Linked DNA regions of Arabidopsis thaliana. The protein of the gene in region 2 interacts with the protein of the main gene of each other region in a biochemical or structural test. Each region holds a gene or a part of one and is shown on either strand. Other genes may lie near its edges.

Region 1 (12,992 bases), on a different chromosome or scaffold from region 2:
GCCATTTCCAGACGCGCAGATGGCTCAGCAGGACTCCAGTACTCTTTGCAGAGATTGTTGAGCTCTTCCCATCGTGCAAGTGCAGCAAGACATCTCATTTGTCCTACAACGTGGTAAATAAGCAATAGAATCAGGCCATTTCATGAAAAGAAAAGAGAAGCATCATATGAATTTTAGACTGGAAAAAAATGCGTTGATCTGTTGTTCTGCTAACTTGTAAGAATGTTATGAACCCACAGTTCTCTATGAACTACTAACAGAATACCGACAAAAAAATGCCAACAGAACTTAGAAAAAAACATTATCGAAGAAAAAAACCCACTAAATCCTCCCAATATTAGTCTTGGTTACCACAAACCTAATGTGGCTTCTAATACAAGATGAGGATTTGTTGTTTGAGATGCTTTCAAAGTGTACGCCTTGAGTGCATCGTCCCAGCGCTGCAGCTTCTCATACCTAGAAACAAACACTGTTAGTGCTTTTCCACTGATTAGGATCAAAGAATGGAACCACACACAATCTTGTGACGGAATGCCTATCAAACAGAACTGAAAATAAGTGCATCATGATTCAGAAAAGCCATGTTACCATGATTCTTTTAATTGCACATCAAGATGTTGTTGAGCATAGGTTAGTATACCGACAGCAGCCTATACAAAGAATTCCAACCAATCAATAATAACAAATATCAAAGATGGTCGAAATAGGATACAAAATACAGTGTACCTCATGCTGGTGTAACTGATTATTTATGTGTATAAGAGCCTCGACAACAGCAACTGGGTTGGCATCCATCCTCTTGGATCGTGGACCTTCAAATTCCATCTCTTTATAATGCAGAGCTTTGGCAAAAACACGGCACTACAAAGTTGGAATATTGCACATTACCAAGAAAATCAGATGAATTCTTGATACGCAAATGAAAAAAGTACCAAATCTAATTTAACTAGCAAATACATAACGCAAACCTTTTCAGCAAGAGCCCCCAGAAGACGAATATCAATGGGAAGAGGCTTCTCATCATGTTCCATAAACTCTGCCTAAGAAGAGAAATAATAAAATCAAGCACAAGTGACAGGACCAAGCAACAGGATCACACATAAAGGTAGGTTGATATTGATTCTGAACTTATGATTGTTTATCCAACCTAAACGTAATATAGATTAAACGAAGTATAAGCAGATATTTGGATTATAGTGTTAATATTAGATTAAATAAAAATTACACGTCATGTTTCCATGTACACTCACAGATCGTTTTGTTGATGGTTTTAGCAACAAAAAACGTGTTTTACATAGAAAGATTAACAGGTGCAACCGCTAAAGAAATGGTGACCTAAGAAGTTTTTGTTTCCAGTCTTGGAAAATGTAGTCAACTCATAACAATCGCCTAAGCTAAAACACAAGCACTCAATAAGCACAAGCATAGCCACAGGAAACAAATTTGCTGTTCGTTATAGCCAGTGACTCAATCAAAGGTCTTTATCATGTTTAAGTTTTCTTGTAATGTAACAACGAACATACCAAATTGAGTAGTGTAGCTAAAATTTCTGGAGGGATATTTGGAGATGAAAAGGCCATTTCCAAGCTCCTAACTAACTGCTTTTGGCTAGACTCGTTTAGCTGTGCCCAGCAACTGACAAAGCCAGCAGCAAACAACTCTCTCCCGACAAATGGCTGCAAAACACAATCATTAAAATGCACCCTTTTGAGAGAGGAAAAGAAAGAGCATAGATGAAACACCTGCAACTGAGCAAGTTTTGCACAAGTTCTTAATGCTGGAGAGGGAGACTCCTTAAGTAATTCAATACTAAAATGTCTCATCCATTCCTCCCAATCTTCTTTGGTGCTGCGTTGAGAAGCTTCTCCAGCTGTCCGTAGTCTACCATCATTAACCTGTTCAGCAGATCATCAAAGCCATGAGTGAAAGTTTTAGCTCTTTCAAAACTAAGAAAGAACCAAATAAACTTTACTAGAGGATCATGTTAAATCAAGCCCATATATAGTTTTATTTGTTTTTAAAAGCTGAATGTCCATGGAGAAGAGGAAATATAGAGGACATATTTACAAACTCATTGAAGCAAATGGCTCAGGACCAAGACTAAGCTTCAATGAATGAACGTTGCTATAGATAAACCTACCCATCATTTAGATAGGAAAAAGAAAGAAAAAAAGATCCGCCTTATTCAGCTAAGGAACCCTACAATACACCCCATGTTTGCCTCAATGAAGTCATACTAATAATGACTATGCCGACCAGAAATTTTGTACAATGTTAGAGTAAAATCATGATTTTAACTTGAAACTTGATAACAAAATTTTCACACATTAAGAATCTATATGTGATTATATACGACACAGAAAAGAGTACCTGATGGTTTCTGTCAGTTCCTTCTTCGAAAGGATCGATCTCATTCTCAATTACAGGATCCCTGATAACCTCAACTGGCAGTCGCCTACTTAATTGTTGGGTTGCAGTTGTAGCTACAATCAATGGTTCACGTCTCCGCCAGCGAGCATGAATTTCCTCAAATTCTTTATGCTGAAAAAATGTTGTACAGTGAGATTTTACAGACAGAAGTTCACAAATGACATTTATAATACATGACAGATAAATTTTTGCTGCTATTTTTATTTAAAAGATAGTAAAATGCAAGACCCGCAATCGATGCTTCAATAAAAGCTTGTGAATTGATTCAATGAATATGGTGAAGTCCTCTCCAAGTGCATGAGCCAAACAGCATAGTGCATCGACAGCATCTTTCCGCAACTCATCATTCTTCCTGCGATTACAGAAGATATACCCCATAAGAATATTTATACGTACGAAACTGAAATCACGAGTAAGGTTTAGAAAAACGTGAAATGAAAATCCACTAGAAAACAATTGGGTCCCATCAATAATGGCAGATAAAATCCCATGATATTAAGAAATGTAACTAACATCTGCGGAGTTCTAATAACAAATACATGTGGCCAGAAAAAATTGTAACTAAGCAATACAAACAACTTATGGAAAACAGATTTGTAACAGTAACAATGACGGATTGAAAGTTAATGAGATAATAATAATTCCATCCTTTTTGATAATGCATTGTCAACCATTTAAGAGAAAACCAGATAGTGACACAATGCCTAAGTTTTGAAGAAGTATTGTAAGAAAACCCTTAGGAAAAAGTAACCAATATACTGTTTTTCAGATAGTGACAATCAGTATAACTCACCCATCTAATACTAGCTTCAAGTGATGCACGAGAGCGGAGATATGACCAGTAACCTGAGGATATATACGGATAATTAAAAGTATTACAAGAAGCTTAATATGGAATTTTTTCTGGATCAGCAAAGGGAAAAAAAAAATCAAAATAAATAACCAAAGCTCCTAACCTGAACACACGGGATTACTCTTGTCAAAGTTTTGATGGCATCGCGTCTTATAGCTACAGGAGCATCTACTTTAAACAATCGAATAAGTGCCGGAAGGAGTAAATGCATGTGCTCATCAAGAGTTCCTGCACATAAGGACTCTAAGGGTCAACCATCAGAGTGAAATCTGGCCATGGTGAGAAAATGGAAACTACAGGAGTAAACAATCTGACTATTCAAAGAACCTATATACCGAAAAAAAATTGGATTTAATAGATAAGAAACAAATATGCATATAATAACGAAACTACTTGTATCATCTTACACTACACAATCTAATAATGTGGAACCTCTTTACATTCTTGTAAAAGAACTGCATACGTTAATTACTAGAACTCGCATACCCAAGTAATATAAAATGACTATGAGGATGTCAAAACAAGATAAGTATTACTGACCGCCAAACACTTCGAGTGTGTGGAGAATATCAGGAACATAGGTGTAATCATTAAACCGCTCGGCGTCACCTAATACTTGGATGAAACATGGAAGGATGACTGGAAGATAAGTTCTGAATTCATCATTAAGTGCCAAGCAAAGATGTTCCAGTAGATGCAGAACCTGATTATCAGTAAGAGAGGCGAAGTACTCCCCATAAGATATCTGTCCTTAATCAATAAGAAACATAGCATACTCTAGGCAGCATACAACTTACCGGAAGACCACGTGATGGGCGTATGGGACCGGGCAAGGTGAAGGATGACCATAGTTCAGAGACTAATGAAAGCAGCTCTGGCAGATACTTGCGTATGTGCTGTACACAGATAACATAAGCTATGAGTTTACACAAAGTCGGTCGTATTTTGACCATAACTGAAAATATTAAGGTGGATATACCTGGCGAACAATGGAAACAAGAGTCCCAAGACCCCACGTAATGAAGTCCTTCAGGTTCTCATCAGATGTTCGAACAGTGTGAAAAAGCTCAGGTAAAACCTTCAAATTCAGAGGTGGAACCAACCCAACAAATTACCACAACGTAAAACAGAGAGAGCATTTATCGAAAAGCTGCCGGAGATACAATATTATTTACACCTACCTTCGGCAAGTAAGGCACGCATCCCAATCCCATTGACTAACCTCGCAAAAACAAAGTAGTGATAAAGTTGTAACCTCCTCATTGCAGTTCCAACACAAGTTTATTTTAAAAAACAGTCAAGATGGTTTTAGTTACCTTGAAAATGATCATCAGAGATCTAACAACCCTTTTGTGGTAACTAAGAAGTGATGCATCTCTAAGAATTCGCATAAGCGAGTTGATAGCAACCTATAACAATAAGGAAAGTAATTGAGCACAATTCAGACTACAAATGAAATATATTCACACAAATTAAGAACTACCGTTGAGTAATAATCCTCAGATGTAGCAAATGACGGCCGGAGTTCGACAGGTAACTCATCAATTGATGGAATAGGTTGACCAGAATCACCAGTGCCGCGAGGAACTTCACCATGTGATCCTGATAAACTTTGTTGGTTACGTTTATGCACATGAGGATCCAAAGCGCCCATAATTCCAAGAACCTGTAGATATAACCACGTTTATCACAAAAATATCTTCTAGAATAGTCTAGAGTAAAACAATTCTCTAGAAACTACCTTGAGCACTTCTCGTCTGGTAGACCACACTAAGTCACCCTTCAGCAATTTCAAGAGTAACCCAAGCAACAATGGGTATTCCTTGTATGGAGTCACAACATACCTACGTTCATAATGAAATTAGAGCCGTAAATAACATGCAGGGAGGATTGTAAACTTCTGGAACTCCCTTCATTTTGTACTAGTTATGTGCACAATAATTAGCACATGTCCCAAGCTACTAAACAGTAACATGCAAGTTGATCACCGCACTGTCTACAAATGTCTACAACTTCATAAACACCAGTGATACAGTTGATTAAATCTAGGCAGCATAATATCCTAGGTATTGGTAAATCAATCCTTTCGCACGACAAACAGAGAATACAACTCATGACAAGTCCGGACACAGAAAGGCAATATTCTTTCTCCGGAATAATGAGCCATCTCAGGAGAGACGGAAAAAAAACCATCACAAAGATCTACCGCAGATAGAAGAACTAGCTAGGGATAACAATATTGTCATTTCATATAGAATTTTCTCACTTTTAGTAGGTTAAAGGATAAACATAACACATATGTATACATTAACACATAAACAGCCTAAGGATAGCTCAGGCTTCTACCTAGCTAATAAGAAGAGATGGAGGCCCCGTTTGTGTCAAAAAATTCACTTAGAATCCAGTATTTTCATCTAGTCCAACCAGGCTTTCGCCAATCAAGATAGTAGCATTGTCTTAGTTTACAAGAAAATTAGCATGTTCAAAATTGCCTAGTAGCATTATCATATAAAACAAGAAGAAAGTCGTAAAAGAAGGTCAATATCTCATACCCTGTACTTTGAACAACTTGACCAAGAGTAGAAACAGCCACCTCACGTTTTGCTACAGCAGCTCCATCCATTAAAGCTTCAACAATTAAAGGCATCAGCTCCGGAATATATTGTCTCATTGCCAAGCCACCCTGAGCAAGCAACGCAAAAGAAAACCAGGAAGGGAATATCTTAGCCAAACACAATAAATAACAGGACAGGAAAGGAAATAAAAGTACCAACATTCTGTTAACTTAGAGACAACAAAAAATACAATATTAGATGCCGGCCAGGGCATTGAAATTTGAAATACGCTTAGCCAACACAGACTTAGAACACAGATAGAAATAGTCAAAAATCAGACTGCAACTTTAACGCGCAGCAAAAACGCAGTTATGTTTGAATCGACACTTAATATAGAATCTAAAACTTGCCAATTATATTTCAACTTACCACTCTTGCAAGATCCCCAACAGTTACGAGAACTCCAGTGACAATATTATTGTTAGCATTCACTCCAGTTCCTTCACTAAGTCTCGCAACAAGTGCCTAGAAAACAAGAGTTACAACCCCGTGAACAACAATAATAGCCATACTATCTAAGAAATGAAAAGAAATTAAACCTTTTGGACAGGGGCTACGTATGGAAGAATGAGCCGTTCACAATTTCGAACTAAACAACCAAGGAGCTTTGCACTCTCTTCCCTGCACTTGTTATCTGCACTGCTGACATTACAATTGAAGTCAATGCAACAGATACATAATCATAGGAAATGAATCTTCCCATATGAACTAAAAAATTTGTAGTTACCTCAGCTCAAGATAGGTCAACAACTGTATAAGATGGCGACGAAGTGCTGGAAGTACGTATGCTGGATTTTTTTCCGATAACCTTCCAGCAACTGAGATGGCATATTCTCGAACATCAAGGTCCTGTTAAACAGAGATATTGTAATATATGAATTGAAATGGTTCCATTGACTAGGCCAGATACTGTAGCCAGGTGGAGTGAAAGTGTGAAACATAAGCCAAACATTCTATCAAGTTAACAGGGTATCACATGATGCATCCACCAACAAAAGGCATTCATTCCATCCACAAATCATCCAATTAAGTTATCTCAGCTGCACTTTTCCAGTACAACTTAATAAGTAACACTGTTTTGTGACACAATAGAAGCTAATTCATAGACTAAAAGCCCAGCTACGTCTTGGTATCCAAATTTTGATATTAGGGGGAGTAATTAAATACCAACTTCATGAACCCATGAAATTGAATCTCAAAGAGCAATACAATTACAATAATTCACCCAAGAGAGACAAATAAAAGATCGGTAACAAATTAGGACTGCAGTATGACATCTAAGCTGCTATTTTATTCAAACAAATAACACAATCATACCTCATCATTTAAGGAAGCAAAAATGGCAGTCAAACTATCAGCCTGTGCTAGATAATCATCGAAACATTGGTTGCCAAATAAAGCAACGAATATAGATTTGCGAACAGTTACATCAGCATCTGCAACGGCTGTCCTGAGAAGCTTTTCCACAATCTGCAGAACCCAAACATCATTTCTCAGCAAGCAGAAAATTGGAACCGCCACTGGTATTGCAATTATAAATGCCATCACGAAGCATGTTTAACATACTTAAGTTCAGATTTGGAAAATAATAAAAAGAAACCTTTTGTAATGAGAAACAGTGAAATTAAAAGACATAATAAGAAAAAAATGTAATGGGCTTTCAGTATGATATAAAACCTCTTCCACAAGGCGCCTGCGTCTCCCCCCTGCTCGTGTTGACCTGCTCGAGCCAAATTGTGTGATGCCAGAAAGAGAATTTGCAATTAGTCTGCAACAACACAAAGCAGCATCTTTTCTTGTGGCTGCATCCTCATCATCCAAATAAACAACAACTGACTCCCGAGCAAATTCAAGAAGATCATGTCCCTGCCAGAAATCAGAAGCTCAAAGACAGAAATTTCATATTCTTTAGAAAATGTTATCCGCAAAGAGCGCCAACCTTGAAATTGAAACGAGCAAGAGTCTGCAGGGCTAGTTGAACTTGAGCTGAACAACTAGGGTCAGAAGACTGTGGTGCCATGCCCACTGTACTACCTCGGACAATGGTAACAGGAGGCTTTGCTTGAGAATAATGGGATTTTGAAAGAACCAACGAAATGCAATCTAGAAGCCGATCTTGTACTGTTGGCAGCAAAGAAGGAATGCTGAGATACAAAGAATTGTCAGCATTAAACGTATACACATCAATGTATGTAATAACAAACTTCTTTCGTTCAACTTTACCTGATGGTTATCTGGTCAAGAGCGTCAACAAGTGTGGAAGAGAGACTAGATGAAAACATAACATCTAAAAGATCTCGAACATGAGTTTCCACTGTGGATCCCATTGCCTTTGCGATGTTACCAACACAAGCCACAGCTTCAAGCAAAGGTCTGCCTTTACGTGGAGCAATCTACAGGGACAACATAGTCGAACAAAGCCACTTGTCTAGTTCAGTTTTCAAAACTAAAACCCAATATAATACTTTGACACAAAAGTAGTAAAACGTAATTACAAAATAAATAAATAAATAAATAAAATTTGACCCACCGCATCCCGCAGATGAGACATAATTGTCGGCAAATAATGGATAAGCTCACCATCCAAAGCACCAGCCATTTCCCCAAGGGCGATGAACCCACTGGCTCTTTCAGCCGGTATTCTTAACACAGTAAGAATATGATTCATGCATATCTGCAAGAAAGTAATTCGTGTCACGTTTCCAGAAATTTTTTGGTTTTAAGAATCTCTCAGTCACTTACCGTTAAATAGTTTGTCACAAACCGGTCACGGAGAAAGTGAGCAATGCGAGGCAGTAACGAGGTGATGCTAAGGCGAACAAGGCGATCACGATGTTCAAGGTATCTGAGGACAATTTCGGCAACTTCTCTATACCTAGACATCATGAACTCACCTGTATTCCTGCAAACGAACTCTAGCATTAAGCTGTAAACTCTAACACCCAATATGCCATGAAATCAATCTGCTTATAACAGAAAACAACGTAATTTTCGTCGTCAAGAGTCTTTTGTTCAGGTATACACTGAGAGTGGAGGAATATACATGAATTGCCTACTTTTTTAATGATGTAAACTACAATACGAAGACAAACTAACAAAACAACCCGAGCATCATGGGGACAAACAAGTTGTTCTACGGAAATATTCCAGAATCAAACTTGAGTGTCTGACTAAAAGAAAGGGATGCTTTCAAAATAGATAACCACTTCTGCATTTACCTCAACAGCTCCCCCACGGCAAGTAAAGAACCATGAATACTGTGAACCGGAGCATTTCTGCCCAACCCATCCTGTGTAGCTTCAAACATTCGATAGTACCTGTAAAAGCCAAATTGAGAGAAGATCAGTTAATAAAGATGGAAACCCCTATTGATAATTTGAAACATTGCATTGGCAATGATATATATAAATGCAGTAGAAAGTCTGCAAAACGTATCACCATGGGAAGAATATATATTCGAATATCATCCATTTTGGGGGGGGGGGGGGGACCACAGCATAAAAAGCTAATATAAGTTGCATTTACACAATAAAATATACAAAGTAGTACTTAAATGAGGGTGATTGCAAATGAAAGTATTGCAACAACACAAAGAAAAGCCTTGCATCAAAAATATCATACCAAATACATAACCTAAGGAAAACATTTCAGACATTATCATTTTCAAGGATAAGAGAATACTTACCACTGCACTCGCCATCGAGTCTCCCTTTTCTCAATAACACGAAGGCATGCACGCAAAGCTTCAACAGCTCGTTCTCGCACTTGCAACTGGGGGTCCCTAAGTGCAACCCAGATAGCATCCACAAATTCAGGGACATGAACGTTAAAGACAGTAGAAGCATTTTCGGCCATCTCCTGCAATGTTGCAAGAAAACATCCATATCCGTATTAACTTAGGATTGGAAAGTTATCATCACTATCATTTTTCAAACATCTATAATCCAATTTATTAGTTCAGAAGTTTCTTTCTGAGTAACTAAAAGAAAAAATGATCTGCTTATCTAAAGGATCGGGCAGCTGAAATCAGGATACCTTTAATATTAAAACGGCGGCGAAACGACGATATTCCACCCTGTCTACGCGAAGCCAATCAAAAGCTGTTTTCATCTGTGAAAACGAGATCAAGAATTGAGCAACTATGAGCCGAGACAGTGATAGGAAGGGGAGGGAAACAAACAATCTTACCTGAAACTCCACTTCATCAGAAGTCATTGCTCCACCTGCCCGAGCAAGGTGCCCCAAAACTCTACTAGCAAGCACCAAGATTTCAGGATCACGCTTCAACTCGAACACAGTCCTCATGTAACCCGCAAATCTAGAAACCTTAGTAGCATTCTCACCAAATCCAATCTCCGTCAACTCATCAATGGCTCTGAGTGCACCCATGTTTTCCGCCACATCAGTGCTCTCAATTAAATTAGCAATCCTGTCATATAATTGCTCCATGAACCTAGAGGAAGCTTCACCACTAAGATCACGAACTGCTTCCTCTACGTGTTTCCTAAACGCTAAAGGAGCTCCCTCCTAATACAACAACCAAAAATCATAAACAAAGTCGCATACTTGATGGAAACCAACAACAATAGATCAAAACCCACAAATTGCCAGACCTATAAGAACTAAAACTTCGAATTTTCCATTAACCAGAACAGAGAGATTCCGTCAGATAAGCAATAAAAGCAAAAGGGTTATATGGGTTTCTACTAAAGCATAAAAAGGGAGAATACTTTACAATGTTCTTCATTACCTTAGGATTACCACGGCTGCAAAGGTCAGCGATGACACGATTCAAAGTGTCAAAGCTTCCGCCACCAGAAGCGGTGGCTGAGGGACCACAAAAGCGGTGCGATTGCGAAGGGGAAGCCATGGATGCAGGCCGTCCAGCCACAAAAGATTGCGACGAGGTAGACATCGCTGCAGGGCCAGTCCAGCCACAAAAATCTTCCAAAAACCCTAAATCTGACCCCTTTTTGGTTCAACAACACTTGGGCAGAGAGAGAGTATGTACAGAGGAAGATAGAAGAATCTTCAACACATGATGCGTCGAGAACCGAAGATCGCAGAAGAAATCAAGATTTTTTCTCTTATTTTTTTACAAATTCAATTCGCTGAGTGTCTTTTTAGCTTTCTTAGGTTTTGCTTTGTTCTTTCAGAGACCAATTATCTTTGGTAAATAAATTGGAAAACCCGAAAGGTTTTTACTAGGAAAATATGACTTTTTCCTTGGAAAATTGTAAAACTTATGTTTGTCTATCAAAAACTTATAAATACAATATTTTCATTTTTTTTTGTCACTGATTAATTACTTAAAACCCTGAAAGGGTCTTTGTTTGGGCTATGTAATGTTTAGAATGTTTAATATACACTTGTCAAAGAAAAAAAATTACTTGTGAAAAAAAAAATAGTCAAAAACTCATATTTGTTCACTGGACAATAGAATAACTTTTTTTGTCAAGGAATAACTTTGTAGTTTCTTGAATAAGTTTTCTTTTATTGTCATTTCACTTTATTATTATTATTTCCAATTATGCTTTTAAGCAGATAAGGAGTTTTTAAAATGATCATTAAATTGTAGGAAAATAATAAACTATAGTTTTGTTGTAATTAGTAGTCATTACGAACAAAAATAATGGGGAAAATGAAAAAATTCAATTGAATGCATATGGTTAAGTTTGTCAACAAATTAAATAAATAAGAGGAATAATATCTATACAAAAAAATATCGAATATTAGTCAAATTTTGAATAAAAAATGTCAAATAATAGTAGAATTGTAAAATAGTTGTATGGTAATCGATATATCATATATTGAAAAATTGATGAAATGTGAATCATATCATTCAGTTAATTTGAATTGTTTTTCTTTTTTTTGGTATGGAGTGGATTTGAATTGTTAGATGTGATGAAACTTTGTTTTTCTATTCATAAAAATTCTAAATCATAGAAATCATTATTTATTCTCCAATGGTAAATTTTTGTTTTGCTTGTATGTTAAGTAGTATTCATATTCATATGTATAGGAAAAACTAAAGAAATGGCTCCTCCAAAATATAGTTCGTGTTTCTCCGTTGTTACAACGAAAATAATCACAATGATTGTGTATGACAAAATAAGCATTACATTCGAAAATTAAACGAAGCACATCCAACATAAAATTTCAAAAGAGTTGTGGCTTGTGGGAGGCTATAGCATCGCTTGGTTTCATCGTACACATCAAGGATGGTGAATAGACAGGGTCCAAGTGTTAACGTTGCGCAATCCCATAACGTGACAAGAATGTCGGTGAAAATATTGGTGTTCTTTTCTCTCCAAATTAATAAACTACAACTAAGAGTACTATTTAAAAAAGAGTTAAAATGACACAAAATAACTCAATTTTTTATATCATTAACGCATTATACGTATAGAATTTAAATAATAACATATACATTTCCATATAGGATAAATAACCTCATCAAAAAAAAAGAAGAATTTTATTATTAGTTTAGACTTTTTTGTCAATATTAATTTATTAGCTTCTTAAGTTTTATATTATTAGCAAAGGATAATGATGCCAACTATATACATGCGTGCTCCAACTTTTGGGACCAATTCATCTAACCTAAGTGATAAACAGATAGATAAATTATCCACTTCTAACTATTTTCCATCAGCTTATTTCAAAATTTAAAAGCTAAATCATTTCAAATCAAAAAGGTCTTTGGCTTTTTTTTATCCACTGTTCCATTATTTCTCTCTTCCATTAAAAAAACTGCATTTTACAAGATCTTTCAGTTTTTAGAAGTAATCAAGTATCAGTGCCAAAAAAAGCTACATTAAAATCTTACAAATTACAGTATACGACGTATTCCTATTTTCAATCGTTATCTAAGTAGAAATATATTTAATAAAACGTGTGAAATGTCAATAAAACAACAACAAAATGTACATACATTAAAAAGAATTCAAGACCAGCAAAAATATATATACACGTTACTATTTAATCTCTTGATATGTTTCCTGTATAAAAGAAAAAAATCTACCATATAAACCTCAATAACGATTCCAGAAATTATATCAAAATTGTAAAAGACAAAAACATTTAACTAAAAA
Region 2 (12,992 bases):
TGGTCATTCTCATATCTTTTCCCTCCTTCTCCTGATACAAACTTGCATGTTTTGATGCTGAAATCTAATCATTTCTACTGTCCAATTTAATCTTAGATAAGACCTTGTTAAAGTTGCATAAATTTTTCCTTTTCTTTGGCTTGATCATGTCAATAGACAACGGCGAAGAAGAAAATCACCTCATCATTTTCCTTTCCTCAAGTGCTGGATATGGGATCGAGATTGGCAGAGTCTTCTCAAAACAAATTGACATACGATCTCTCTGCTGTGTTAATCCACAAAGGAAGCGCTGTTAACAGCGGACATTATGTTGCTCACATAAAAGATGAAAAGACTGGCTTGTGGTGGGAATTTGATGATGAACATGTGTCAGAACTGGGTAAACGTCCATGTAATGAAGCTTCTTCTTCAACTCCACAATCTGAGAGTAATGGTACGGCTAGTAGTGGGAATATCACAGATGGCATTCAATCAGGCTCTTCAGACTGTAGGTCTGCTATTAAGTCAGAGGTTTTCTCATCCAGTGATGCTTATATGCTGATGTATAGTCTTAGATGCGATAAACAGGAAAATCAGGAAGGACAAAAAGAAAATCCTATTGACATTACTAAAGGAGAAGTTAAACAGCTTAAAGGTGGTTATCTTCCAAAACATCTTTCTGAATGGATCAATAACATGAATGCAGTATTCCTTGAGAGTTGCAAGCAATATAATTTAAGAAAGGAAAAAGAATTGAATGCTTTGACTGAAAGGAGGCAAGAAGTACGGACAATCCTTTCAGAAGCTGCTGTTCAGTCACTTGAAGAACAATATTTTTGGATCTCCACAGATTGGCTTCGTCTATGGGCTGATACCACTTTACCTCCGTAAGTAAAGCTCCTCATACATGCATTTGTTGTTATTCTCTACATACTGCACTGCTTTCAACATAGGATGCATTAAAATCTGCAACAGAATATCATATCATTCAAATGCATCGTCTATAATTTATCAGAATATGATGGCGACTTTGTACCCCACACCAAACTTCTAAATATTGTTTCCCTTTGAAAATTTATATTTTATTTCAGTTTCCAGCTCTAACTGGTAGTGGTAAATATGATTTTCTGTTTAGCAAATCAGATTACATCTTTCAAGTGTTCTTGATTATATTTGTTCTTGTATGGTGTAGCGCTTTGGACAACACCCCTTTACTGTGTTCCCATGGGAAAGTTCATGCCTCAAAAGTGAATTGCATGAAGCGGATATCTGAACTTGCATGGATCAAGTTAGAATCAAAGGTATGCAATGTACTTTGTGTAGCTCATGTGTTAGTTTCTTTCCTTTTTCGGGGCGGAAACTTTATTGATTTCAAGTTTGCATCAGCTGCCATCATTAACTATTTGTCAGAAAAAATTATAGTTTCTAGATTCCAGTAGACAGACTTCTGTTCGACTATCAACATTTTTCTTATGCTATGTTATTATTTCTGATGGAATAATTTTCTCGTATGTTTAGTTCAATGGCGGACCAAAGTTAGGGAAAGGGGACTACTGCAGGGACTGCCTTATGGATGGTGCTCGCATGGTTGTGTCTTCTGACAGTTATAGGGATCGAAGAACATTCATGAAAAGCATAGCAAATGATGTTCTTTCGGGAAAGTGCGAGGACGGAATGTATTATATCTCTAGAGCATGGTATGTGTTCAAGTCTTTTGTAAGTTTGATGCATATGCAGATGGCGCTTTATTTTATGGAGCACTTAATTACTATTATTTTGTGGGGTGTTTCCACAATTAGCTGCTTCTAAAACGTAATAGCATGTTTCCAGGTTACAGCAATGGATAAAAAGGAAAAATCTTGATGCTCCTACTGAAGCAGATGCGGGGCCCACAAATGCTATTACGTGCAATCATGGTGAGCTGATGCCAGAGCAAGCACCAGGGGCCAAAAGAGTTGTAGTTCCAGAGAATTTCTGGTCATTCCTTTTTGAAGATGCTCTAAAAGTGATGTCAGAAGATACTTTGGATTGTACTTGTTTTCCTGTGGACTCCAGCCAATGTTGTCATTGCACAGAGGTACTTTCTGAGGTTGCATGCTTCGAGGATTCACTAAGGTTAGCCATGATTAGTTATTTTTTTTGTTGGTCGTTATACTCTTAAAGATTTTCTTACCTTCTATTTTATGCAACAGAACATTGAAGGTCAAGCAGCGCCAAAATCACGAGAAGTTAGCCACGGGAAAGGGTATACCATTAACGCCACAAAGCCGATATTTCTTGTTGCCTTCTCCGTGGCTAGTGCAATGGAGAATCTATATTAACATGACTGGAAAAAATAGTTCTTCAGCACCAGAGCCTGAACGTCTTGATGGAGTCATTAATACTCTCAAATGCAAAAAGGTAAGATCTGTTGCTCGGCAGTGAGTCGGTTTCCAATTTACTGGCAGTTAGATATTGTGGGGGTAAAGCTCTATGTGGACAGAAGTGATTAATTCTAAATCAGTGTCCCTGACCACTTTCTCTATTTCCTCTCATAGAAATATTTCAATATATGTTAGTAAACGCGGGTGGTATGACCTGTCTTATTTCAGCAGGCCTCATTTCATCCCCCCACTATGAGCATAAAACTAATGGTTTGTTCCTATGGTTGTTTGTTTCAGCATACACGACTCCTTGAAAGGCTCCCTGAACTTGTCTGCAGACGTGGCTCGTATTTTCAGAAAAATCCATCTGTAAGTGCATCATATATACCGTGAGATGATTCCTAATCTATTTTTAAACTGTTTGATACAGTAAAGCCAATATCTGAATGGAAAATTGATAAGTGTTCATCACAACATAGAGAGGCTTCAACAAATATTTTTCATATGAACATAAATAACTTATTTCTGTAGAAGTAAGGATATTATAAATAAGAGATTAATCAAGTGTGGGGAGGTGTCTGTGTGTTTTGAGACTGGTTTTAGAGCTTGGAAGTAAGGTGTCTGATAGTATGGTTCCGTGGTTCTGTGGTGTGATTTTCTTTCAGTGAGAAATAAAGGGAATCATGTTCTGAATTTAACAAATTGGTATCGTGATTGTCGGATTCAGTTTACATCCTCTCTCGTGTTGGCTGTTTATAGCGTCAAACGCAGACTTGGGGAATTCTGATTTTGATCTAATCTCTAGTACTCTTGCACCTTTTTCTAGACAGACAAGCTAACAATCATCCCTGAGCTTGATTGGAAATATTTCTGTGACGAGTGGGGAGGGCTCATGGAGAATGGAATATCTGCTTTTATTGAGGTTGGCAATACAGACCAAAGTTCATCCCCAGACGTCATTGACCTTGAGAAGGATTCTTCTCCGGATGATAATATGGACGTTGATGCTCAACAGCTTATTCTCAGGGCATCCCCAGAGGTATTTGCATTATTATCTTGAGCCTTTTTTTTTGGTCAACATTTTGAGAGTGTGATGTAATATTGAATGGCAATGTTGGCTTAGTATTTCACATTGGTCCATATATGAAGTTCAGATGCGTTACGGTATACTGTTTTTCTTTTTCTTAAAAGCAAGTGTGATCATTTGCATTCACATTTATTATTGTATGACTTCATGACTAGAGTTGCATTTAACAGGATCTTTTATTTTCGCTAGATTTGCGAGGAATGCATAGGAGAGAGAGAAAGCTGTGAGTTGATGCAGAAACTTAGTTACTCTGAGGGAGATGTATTTGTCTGTTTTGTGCGTGGAAAGGAAGCTCCAAAAGCAATGTTAGAGGCATCTGACTCTAGCTTTGAGGTGGATCGGCGTACTTCAAAGCGATCTCGGAGAACAAATTATGGAAACCTGACAAGCCTGAAAGTGTCTGCGACAACGACTGTATACCAATTAAAGATGATGATATGGGAATTACTTGGGGTAAGATTCTTTTAGACATAGTGTTTTTTTCGTTTCTGTAGATAACTTGAAGAAACACAACAAAACGGGGTTTCAATAAAATATGCAGGTGATGAAGGAAAACCAGGAACTCCACAAAGGCTCAAAAGTGATTGATCAGGAATCTGCAACCCTTGCAGACATGAACATATTCCCCGGCGACAGGCTTTGGGTGAGAGATACAGAGATGCATGAACACCGCGATATTGCTGGTAACCAAATTTACCATTATTCTGCTGTCTGGTTAGCGAGATGTCCATGTAAAACTATTCATCTTATGTCTTAACAGATGAGTTATGTGAAAAGAAACCGGGGGCTCAAGATATCGAAGAAGGGTTTCGAGGGACGCTATTGACTGGGAATATCTCTTCTGAAGCCTGCTAGAAATTGTAACTTTGTGATCAAAGTGTAAAAACAGAATGCGTGAGAACTGAGAAAGAGTCATTGGACCATCTAGAGGAGGTAAAATATCTTATAAGAGCTACTTTCTCGAAACTAAAATCTCTTCTTATCTGCGGTGGTCTTATGATTTTGTCTTTCTCAGTAGTTGTGCAGGAGACGGACGACACATTTTTTGGGTCAGTTTTTTTGTAAAGGCAGGCAAGGCTTTGGAGCTTTATTTTGTGTAAAAAACAAACGCAAAGATTTGGAGAAAGCTTAGCACAAGCTGAATTTGTGTAGATGCAAAGGCTTATTGTGGATGGCTATTTGAAGCTGACTTTTGTGTGTGTGTTTTTGGTGTACTTTTTATCTAAATGGGCATTGCGTTTAAAACTCTTCTCTCTCTCGTTTTGTGCTGCACATCTTGTGACCTTATACCCAAATAGCTTGTTATCACAGTAGGAACTATCATGCATCCGATCTCTCTATCAATGTGACTCTTTGCTTCGTTTCACACTCATCTTAAAAGAGTATAGGTGACCGGTTTTCAACATTTGTGTATTTCATGTTTCTTCTAGAAAGAGGTCCAGATGAGAAAACAAGGTTTTCACATGATTTGTCAACAACAACAAAACCCTCAATAAATTTCACTACTTCATAATGAAAAGATTCAAGTTTGATTAGTTTATTTTATGTGCATATTCAAAGGCAAGTTCTTTTACAGAAACCAAAACGTGATTGCTCTTTGGCAATATACAACAGAGTTAAGTATTCGTCATCAAATTCATATCTACAAACAACCATCGGATAACTCATATCTTGATCGCTCTTTGATTTGGCTCAGTGGACGCGAGTTGGTCCAGACCCACTTTTGGATTTGGAGAGAAGCAAGTCTTTGAGCTGTTTGTAGTTTCTCAGTTCCTCTAGTGCATCTGATGTGCTACGAGCCATCGAAAATTCAGATTCTGTACCTGACACTGAACCTTCTCTCTGAACCCCAGACATTGACGCCATATAAGTGCTTGAGTCTTGTCGTAATGGTGGTGCTGTCTTCAGCATGTGAACCAGAACACCAACCGCTGCGTCCTGTGATGATCTTCTCCCTAGAGGTAGCGACTGCGATATAGAGCTTGAAGTTTTCCTCCGGTCAAGACTATGGCTGCATCGAAAAAATTGCAAAATATCTGTCATTTTCTTACTACCAAAGACTAAAAAACCCAAGAAGAAGTGAACTTGACAGACCAAAAAATGATAAAGAAACAGTAAGAGAAAGGCCAAGTATAGAGTGTGAATGCCAACAATTTCACATTAAACAAAACAGCCAACACATTAGTGTTTTCTTCATGGCATCTTGTCATTGACCAGCTCTATGTGTAAAGATTTCTGTAAACTAATCCAAGTATATAATATTTCCTTTGAATGATTCAAGTTAGGTAGTGGGATAAAGCCAACCTGTACTGAAGTCCTGACTCATCAACATCATCGAAATCAAAAGGGCATGAACAATCAGGGTCATCCAAGTCGTCTTGGGAAGATAATCTACTGGGGCTCCTAGAAAACGCGAATCTTGGTGAGTCACTCGAAGACAGAACTCCTGAGAAGCGGCCTGAATCGTATTTGCTGTCCTTTGACAGCTGAAGAGTAGATATAAATAAATCAACAAAATATCAGATGAGGCAATACAAAATATAGTGATATTTTTCTTGCATTGAGCAAGACACATAAGATGTAAGAAGCATAACCTTTTGAGTAGGGTACTGGTTCATTAATCCAGAAGGAGACTCTCCGCTTCTAGAACTCCTGTACAACGCAATCCCAGGCAAAGAGTCCTGCGATGAAGGGGAGCGTCTTGTGCTTTTGGGGGAAAAAGGAGGAAGTGGATTCCTACCTGGCTCAGAGAAGTTAGATGAAACGTATCTATTTAACGTGGCTGAAGAAGGAATGGTCACTGGAGCAGTCCCTGGTCTCACATTAATGCGCGGACTGTTACCCCCAGATATGTATCTTGGAGTAGATGGAGAACCCGATGGTGAAAAGGGAGGTGAAAGCTGGTGATTGTCACCAAAAGCATCTGTACGTGACCAGTGGAAATCGTGTAACCCAGGTGACAACTGATGAGACTGAGCTGGCGAAAAAGATTGGTTCGGTGTTGCGAATTGAGCTGGAGGTCTGTGAAAGCCGCTAGTCCAGCTATGCGGACGTTCTGCAGATGAACCAGTCAATGGAGGCCGACCAGCTCTACCAGTAAAGGAATGGCCTTCAACACTTCTCCCTGGAGAAGGGAAAAACCTCATAGGATCTGTTGCAGGACTTCCCACATAATCAGTTATAATCCTCGGAGGCAATGTGATATGAGCACCGAGATTAAAATCAGATAAGTCAGAACGGTAAGTAACCGATGCACAAAGACGACCAGGAGGCACTTCAACAGGAGCAAAACGAAACTCTTTCATTGTTTCCGTCACAGGACCAGAGAATATGTCACTGAAAGATGAAACCTTGTAAATCAAATCATAACCAGAAGAAGCAAGAGAAGAACTCAGCTGCCTAGAGACACGATAAGCAGGAAGAAGCCGAGTCTGTGCATAAAGAGACCGCAACAGAATGATAGATTTCTTGTAAACCTTCTGGTAACGCGTTGCAGAGTCAGAACTCTGAGGAGACATAATCAAAGGATTCTCATATTGAACAACCCAACGCTCAATCACAGTCTCAGCTGATCTAACAACAGAATCACTATGATCATCATCATCATCCAAATTATCGTTTGAAATCGGATGGACAAGAATGATATCAATAATCATAGAATCCAGAATATTCCTATGCCAAGAATGCAATTTCTCCAACGCAGCAGGACGATCTCCCATCACAAGATTAAACCATTTGTCACTTTTTCTAACGTTAAGACCTGATAAACGCTCACGAGTACGACCACGAGATTGCAACGAAGGGATTCTGGAATTAAGAACTATGTGTAATGCTTTTGGGAAGAAATGAGAAACAATCTGCTCTAATCTTCCTATATCTGAAGGCAAATTCTCTGGAAAATCCATCTTCTTCACACAAATCCCTAAATCGAAACAATTCTAAAAATATCTCACACAAATCCCTAAGAAATATCCAAATCCGAAACTGATCTATGAGAACGGAGATCACGAATCGTTGTTTTGGGAGAAGGATCTAGAAATACAAAGCTTAAGATGATTAAGGTGATTAAGAGATGAAGAAAGTGTAGAGAGATAAATTACAGATAGTTAGGGTTACCGTGAGGAAGAGAGTTTGATAATAGAAGCTTTTATGTGAAGATCTGAGACGTCAACGATGGCGTGAGTGTGTTTTACACGCAGATGACGATGATGATGATCAACATAAACAAAAAGAGTTTCAGAGGTAGAAGAAACACACACGATCACGATTTGAGAACACTGTGAAATTACTAATTAAATTAATATTGAATTCAACCAATGATAAATAGCCACGTCTTTGTTCTCTTTTGTTTTTCTCGTTTTACCCTTATCTTGTTGCCTCAATTACAGGAGACAATAGGTCTCGTTAATCTTAATGTACTATACTGTGAAATTACTAATTAATATTCGACTCTTGTGAATGCAGCCAATGAAGAATAGCCACGTCCTTGTTATCCTTTGTTGAATTTTTGTTTTCTTCTGGTTTTACAGGAGACAAGACAATAGGCTCTTAATGTATACAGTGAACCTGAATCTCACGCGCTTTTTTGGTAGAGAAGGTGAAGCAAATGCGCCAAGTCGGATGTTTAAGTATATGGGCTTACTGTTTAAGCATTAGGCCCAACATTTCTAGATAATTGGAACACTTTTTTTTTTTTTTTGTAAACCAGATAATATGTATTTGCAATCATCACTATGGAATGAGTTCAAAACCATTGGTTTTTTGAAGTTATGGACTACGTAGCTAACATTTTAAAACCTACAGATTTTTATTTTATTTTAAATGTTATATGTTATATTGTATCATTACAAGAGAAAGCGATTCTTACAATGTAGTTTAGTCTTCTAACAACTGTTATTATTACTGTTGTGAAAAATATGTATTCAAACTAACATACTGCATGTTATCAACAAATGTATAAGTTGTAAATGTCTATTATATATTCTCTATGTTCCTAAAAGAATGATGTTTTGGGTTTTTCACCCAAATTAAGAAAATTAACTTTTATGTTATTTATATTATTTTTTTGTTAATTTAATAATATAATTTCTACTTCTTTCCTCTCTCTATTAGTCATTAATAAAAATAATAATAATATTAACCTAAGAAATCAATTTTTATGGAACAAAAAAAAATCTAAAACATCAAATTTCATGGAACAGGAGAAATATATTTTTGGTGATAGTACACTAATTTTCTATTTTATAGTGGTTGTAGATGTATGATGTCGTGAAATATCCCATAATAGTTCTTCAATCATAATATAAGTAACGCAATATTAAGCGGCAGCGTTTTCCCAAATTATTAACTTGTTAGTTAATAATCTAAAGAATAAATCCTTGTCACAAACTCACAATATCACAAGAAAGTGAGAAACACTATAGTGATTGGCTTCAGACGTCACCTATTTCAAGCCCTACTAACTCAATAATGTAATCAATATATACCACATACATACATCAGAGATCAGACCAACACATTTTTATTACAAATTTGACGGACCAGAGATTTATAAATAATTAAATTGAATTTGTGTAAACCACGGCATTAGAATTATTAATTACTATTCTATTTACACGTTAACATATATTTATCCATTTATCAATTTATAGTTGTATAGACGGCAATTTGTTTATTAATTTTAAAGTTAAAACTAGTTAATAACATGGATAAACCGGAAATTTCGAAATTAATTTGGTTTAAGTTTCATATAAAAAATATTTAAATCGAACCTAGCGAAACTGTGATAAAAAAACGAAAAAAAAAAATTGAACATTCGAAAAAAATAGTAAATTTTCTCTTTTGGGGTGGTCTATGCATACATAAGCCATGAGTATGTTTAAGTTTCAAGTAAGGAGAAAATATTGACCGAAATCAAAAGTGAGGAGAAATAAAAATCAAGAAGCAGATACATTGAACCTGGACATGCAAAAGCTACACAAAGCGCCTATTAAAGAAACATAATCAAACCCTAACACTCAACAAATCAAGAAACAAAGTTAGAACCACAATCAAATCCTTTTACACAAAGAATCTTAATGGCGAACCGAGGAGGATGCGTGACGGTGGCGGCGGAAGAGATGGATGAGCTAAGGAGGAGGAACATAGAGCTCTCGAGAGAAGTGGCGGAGATGAAGACAGAAATGATTAAGTTGTGGCAGCGAACGGTTGTGGCGGAGGAGGCGGAAGAGCAACTCTGCTCGCAGCTGGCGGAGCTGGAGGTCGAGTCTTTAGAACAGGCACGTGACTATCACGATCGCATGCTCTTCCTCATGGATCAAATCTCTCGTCTCTCTTCTTCTTCTGTCGTCTCTTCCTCGTAGAATAAGATATTTCTCATAAGTTATGTATAGTTGTGTATGTGACAATCACTATACATGTATATAGATCGATGGTAATATGTTATGTTTTCAACATAAATTAAATGTTTGAATCCATTTCTAGTGAATAAATTAGAATTTCTGATAATCATACAAATTGTTGAACTCCATTTCTAATGAATTAGTATTTCTGGTACTAGTTGCATATTTTGTCTTGACTTTTAATTACAAAAGTTCTTATGGAAGCAAATAATATTTTGGAATGATACCATGTTTAAGTAATGAAGTAATAATATATGAGTGAGATCTAATGTCAATCTTAACTATCAAAATAATTTTATGGAACTAGTAGGTATTGGAGACTCGAAGGGGATCGAAGAACTTTGAAGTTTAAATTCCATGAAATCCTACATTACCATAATTTTCAAAGGAATCGTAGAAGAGTTAATTGAAACTTGAGTGTAGAAAAAAATAAAGGGTTTTTGGGTACATGAGTTTCATGGAAATTTTCCACAACTTCAGGATTTTTTTTTTGTGGTCAATGGAAACCGTAGGAGAGAATGGTTCAATGATTTTTCTATGGAACCATAACAATAGTCTTTAGGGGACGTGAAACATGAAATTGTGTAAGTTTTCCATTGGTTCAAGGGTCATTTTCTGTTTCTATTTCATTTAATTATATATTTATTTTGTTAATATAAAAAAAAATCATTTAAAATAGTATGAAGATATGTGGTGCTGGCAAATTAAGAGGAATATTGACATTCGATTTTGACGTGATTTTGTTTGTTTTGCTGTTAATTAACTGTTTTGATCATAATAAATTTGAGATAGTATCCGTTGACGATGAGAATATGCCATGCGTAGATTTAAAATTATTACCATTTCTTATTTAATCAACAACGGTACCGGAGTAAACCATGCCTGCCAAAAATGAATTGAAACTTCAATTGTTTCAAGAAAGATGTGTGTGTGTGTGTTTTTTTCATTCTAAACAAAGTTGAACCAAATTAGAATAAATTAAACCGAAGTGAGCCAGTATGTAATTTTGGAAGACTAAACCGGACAAGAAAGCAGATACATTGAACCTGGACAGTATAGGAACTCAATCAAATTGTATGGTCTAAAATGTGATCATCCCACGCTCCGAATTTGTTCATGTCGCAGCTTTTTTTGGCATTTTGTAATAATTGGGCAAACGATTATTCATGATTTTTTTTTCTTCTTTGGCTTTTTTCTTATGCTACTTTATCCCTGATTTTGATATCTCTTGAAAAGAAGGATCTACCATTATTGGAATCATTTGTCTACGATATCGACTATCGAATTTGACTGTTTACAAAGCTATAATTCTTTTGATATCGGGTGACCAAACTGTAATTAATTAACTATAGTTCCATGAACAATTTAGGAAATAGAGATAGCTTAGACTTTGGCCTAGATTAATGGGTTTAATGACTAATATTGGTGGATTCAAGAATAATGAATTAGTAGGAATAATCGTTACGTGTTTCATTGGTGCGACGGCCATTGACTTGGGATAAGTAGAAGTGGTCCACTGGAGGCACGAAGAAATGGGATATGACAATTACATCGACGTGATTGGTGACGTCACCCATATGTATCTCCACGACGTTCACCGATTCCTAATATTCAACTAATTCGCATAATACTAATTAACGTCTTAATATGATTTTCTAATTTTTTGTGTATCTAATAATTATGGTGATGATGATAAAAGAAATTTGACATCTTAATAAGCTATTAAGGAATATAACTATAAGATTTTTGCCTAATCACTATGAGCAAATTATATGAAAATTTTGATAGAATATGAGATTTTCTCTTAAATGTGTCAAATTTGGGATATAGGATACATATCTACAATAGGCCAGATATACTTATACTATCATGCATGGATATGTATGTACTGATGTTGCATTTTCTAGATTAATGTAATAAAACAGCCCCCAAAAAACATTTTAAACCTATTAGGTTACTAGTATATATATCTAATTAATATTCGTCATCATTAGTGTGGTATATCTTTGTGTATTTGATTTTGTATAAATAATTATCTACTTTTGTGTGTTTACATATTAGTATAATACTAGTTCATATCTAAATTATATATTTTCTGATAACGATACCTAATTTATATTTTAATCTAAATGTTTTTTTTTTTAATGTTAAATATTGCTTGAAGATAATTCTAGATGCAGATATTCAAAAGGAATAAATTATTGTGATAGTCTTGCATGATATGTACCACGTGCAGTAGACAGACAATGATGTCGACAAAAAAAAAAAGAAGAGAACACGAGATACATTGAACCTAGACACTTTGCAATCCCAAATACCAAAACTCAAAATATGCCTATTAAAAGGACCATCAACACATAGAAGAGAATTTAACAGTTTAACACAAGAAGCAGCAAAACCACCTAACTCAAATTGTTGTCTATATACAAGAAACATAATCATAATGGGAAAAGGAGGAGGTTATGTGACGGTGGCGGCGGAAGAAGTGGAGGAGTTACGGAGGAGGAACGGAGAGTTGGAGAGAGAAATGGAGGAGATGAAGAAAGAGATGGTTCAGCTGTGGCGGCGTACGGTGGTGGCGGAGGAGGCCGAGGAGAGACTCTGCTCGCAACTGGCGGAGCTAGAGGTCGAGTCTTTAGATCAGGCGCGTGACTATCACTCTCGTATAGTCTTTCTCATGGACCAAATCTCTCGTCTCTCTTCTTCCTCTCTTGAAGTCGTTGTTACGAATTCGTAGATAGATTAATTATTATTTTGTCTTTAGCTTTTTTTTTTTTTTTAATTGTGGGATCCAAGTAGTTTAATGTGTTAAAAAGATATGTAAAGAAATTTTGCATAAGTATTACAAATTTTCATTTTCTTCATAATCCTTTAAAATTATGTCCAGAAAAAAGTGTTTAACCATGTTGACAAAAATTTGTTTTAGGGGAATTTGAAGTTATATTTCCTCGAATTCATGCAACATTTGTGATTGCAGAGACGTCTCAGAAAGTTTTATTCTTTCGTGGTCACGCTTATTGTTCTAATGGAGATATTTTGATATAGGAAATTAATATTTTCCTTCATAAAAACCGCATTAAAAAAAAACGTTATTGTATTCATGTAACTTTAGTGATTACGACATAACAGAGACGTCTTACGAAGTTTCTTCTTTCGTGGTCA

The links.
Region 1: of the proteins of ATG13 (region 2) and TOR, one has a biochemical effect on the other in vitro, tested with the Arabidopsis thaliana proteins (one large-scale study listed by BioGRID).

Annotation. Positions count from the first base shown.
Region 1 is NC_003070.9:18,528,807-18,541,798, forward strand, and holds the start of TOR (target of rapamycin), read right to left. Parts: upstream 11,190-12,992; 5' UTR 10,814-11,189; coding exon 10,649-10,813; intron 10,426-10,648; coding exon 10,087-10,425; intron 10,009-10,086; coding exon 9,934-10,008; intron 9,757-9,933; coding exon 9,584-9,756; intron 9,216-9,583; coding exon 9,117-9,215; intron 8,801-9,116; coding exon 8,641-8,800; intron 8,573-8,640; coding exon 8,429-8,572; intron 8,292-8,428; coding exon 8,122-8,291; intron 8,043-8,121; coding exon 7,838-8,042; intron 7,765-7,837; coding exon 7,576-7,764; intron 7,369-7,575; coding exon 7,216-7,368; intron 6,748-7,215; coding exon 6,626-6,747; intron 6,538-6,625; coding exon 6,438-6,537; intron 6,364-6,437; coding exon 6,268-6,363; intron 5,967-6,267; coding exon 5,836-5,966; intron 5,128-5,835; coding exon 5,025-5,127; intron 4,950-5,024; coding exon 4,767-4,949; intron 4,693-4,766; coding exon 4,600-4,692; intron 4,501-4,599; coding exon 4,465-4,500; intron 4,362-4,464; and 27 more. UniProt on the Arabidopsis thaliana protein: Essential cell growth regulator that controls development from early embryo to seed production. Controls plant growth in environmental stress conditions. Acts through the phosphorylation of downstream effectors that are recruited by the binding partner RAPTOR.
Region 2 is NC_003074.8:18,372,234-18,385,225, reverse strand, and holds ATG13 (Autophagy-related protein 13), read right to left. Parts: upstream 7,748-12,992; 5' UTR 7,335-7,747; coding exon 5,965-7,334; intron 5,916-5,964; coding exon of another isoform or gene 5,902-5,915; coding exon 5,734-5,901; intron 5,441-5,733; coding exon 5,122-5,440; 3' UTR 4,952-5,121; downstream 1-4,951. Other genes in the region: UBP26 (ubiquitin-specific protease 26), read left to right, coding at 157-866, 1,172-1,280, 1,498-1,676, 1,810-2,094, 2,172-2,379, 2,640-2,711, 3,169-3,381, 3,619-3,882 and 2 more; LSU1 (response to low sulfur 1), read left to right, coding at 9,507-9,791; LSU3 (response to low sulfur 3), read left to right, coding at 12,274-12,567. UniProt on the Arabidopsis thaliana protein: Involved in autophagy in a nutritional condition dependent manner. The ATG1-ATG13 protein kinase complex regulates downstream events required for autophagosome enclosure and/or vacuolar delivery. Becomes a target of autophagy under nutrient starvation.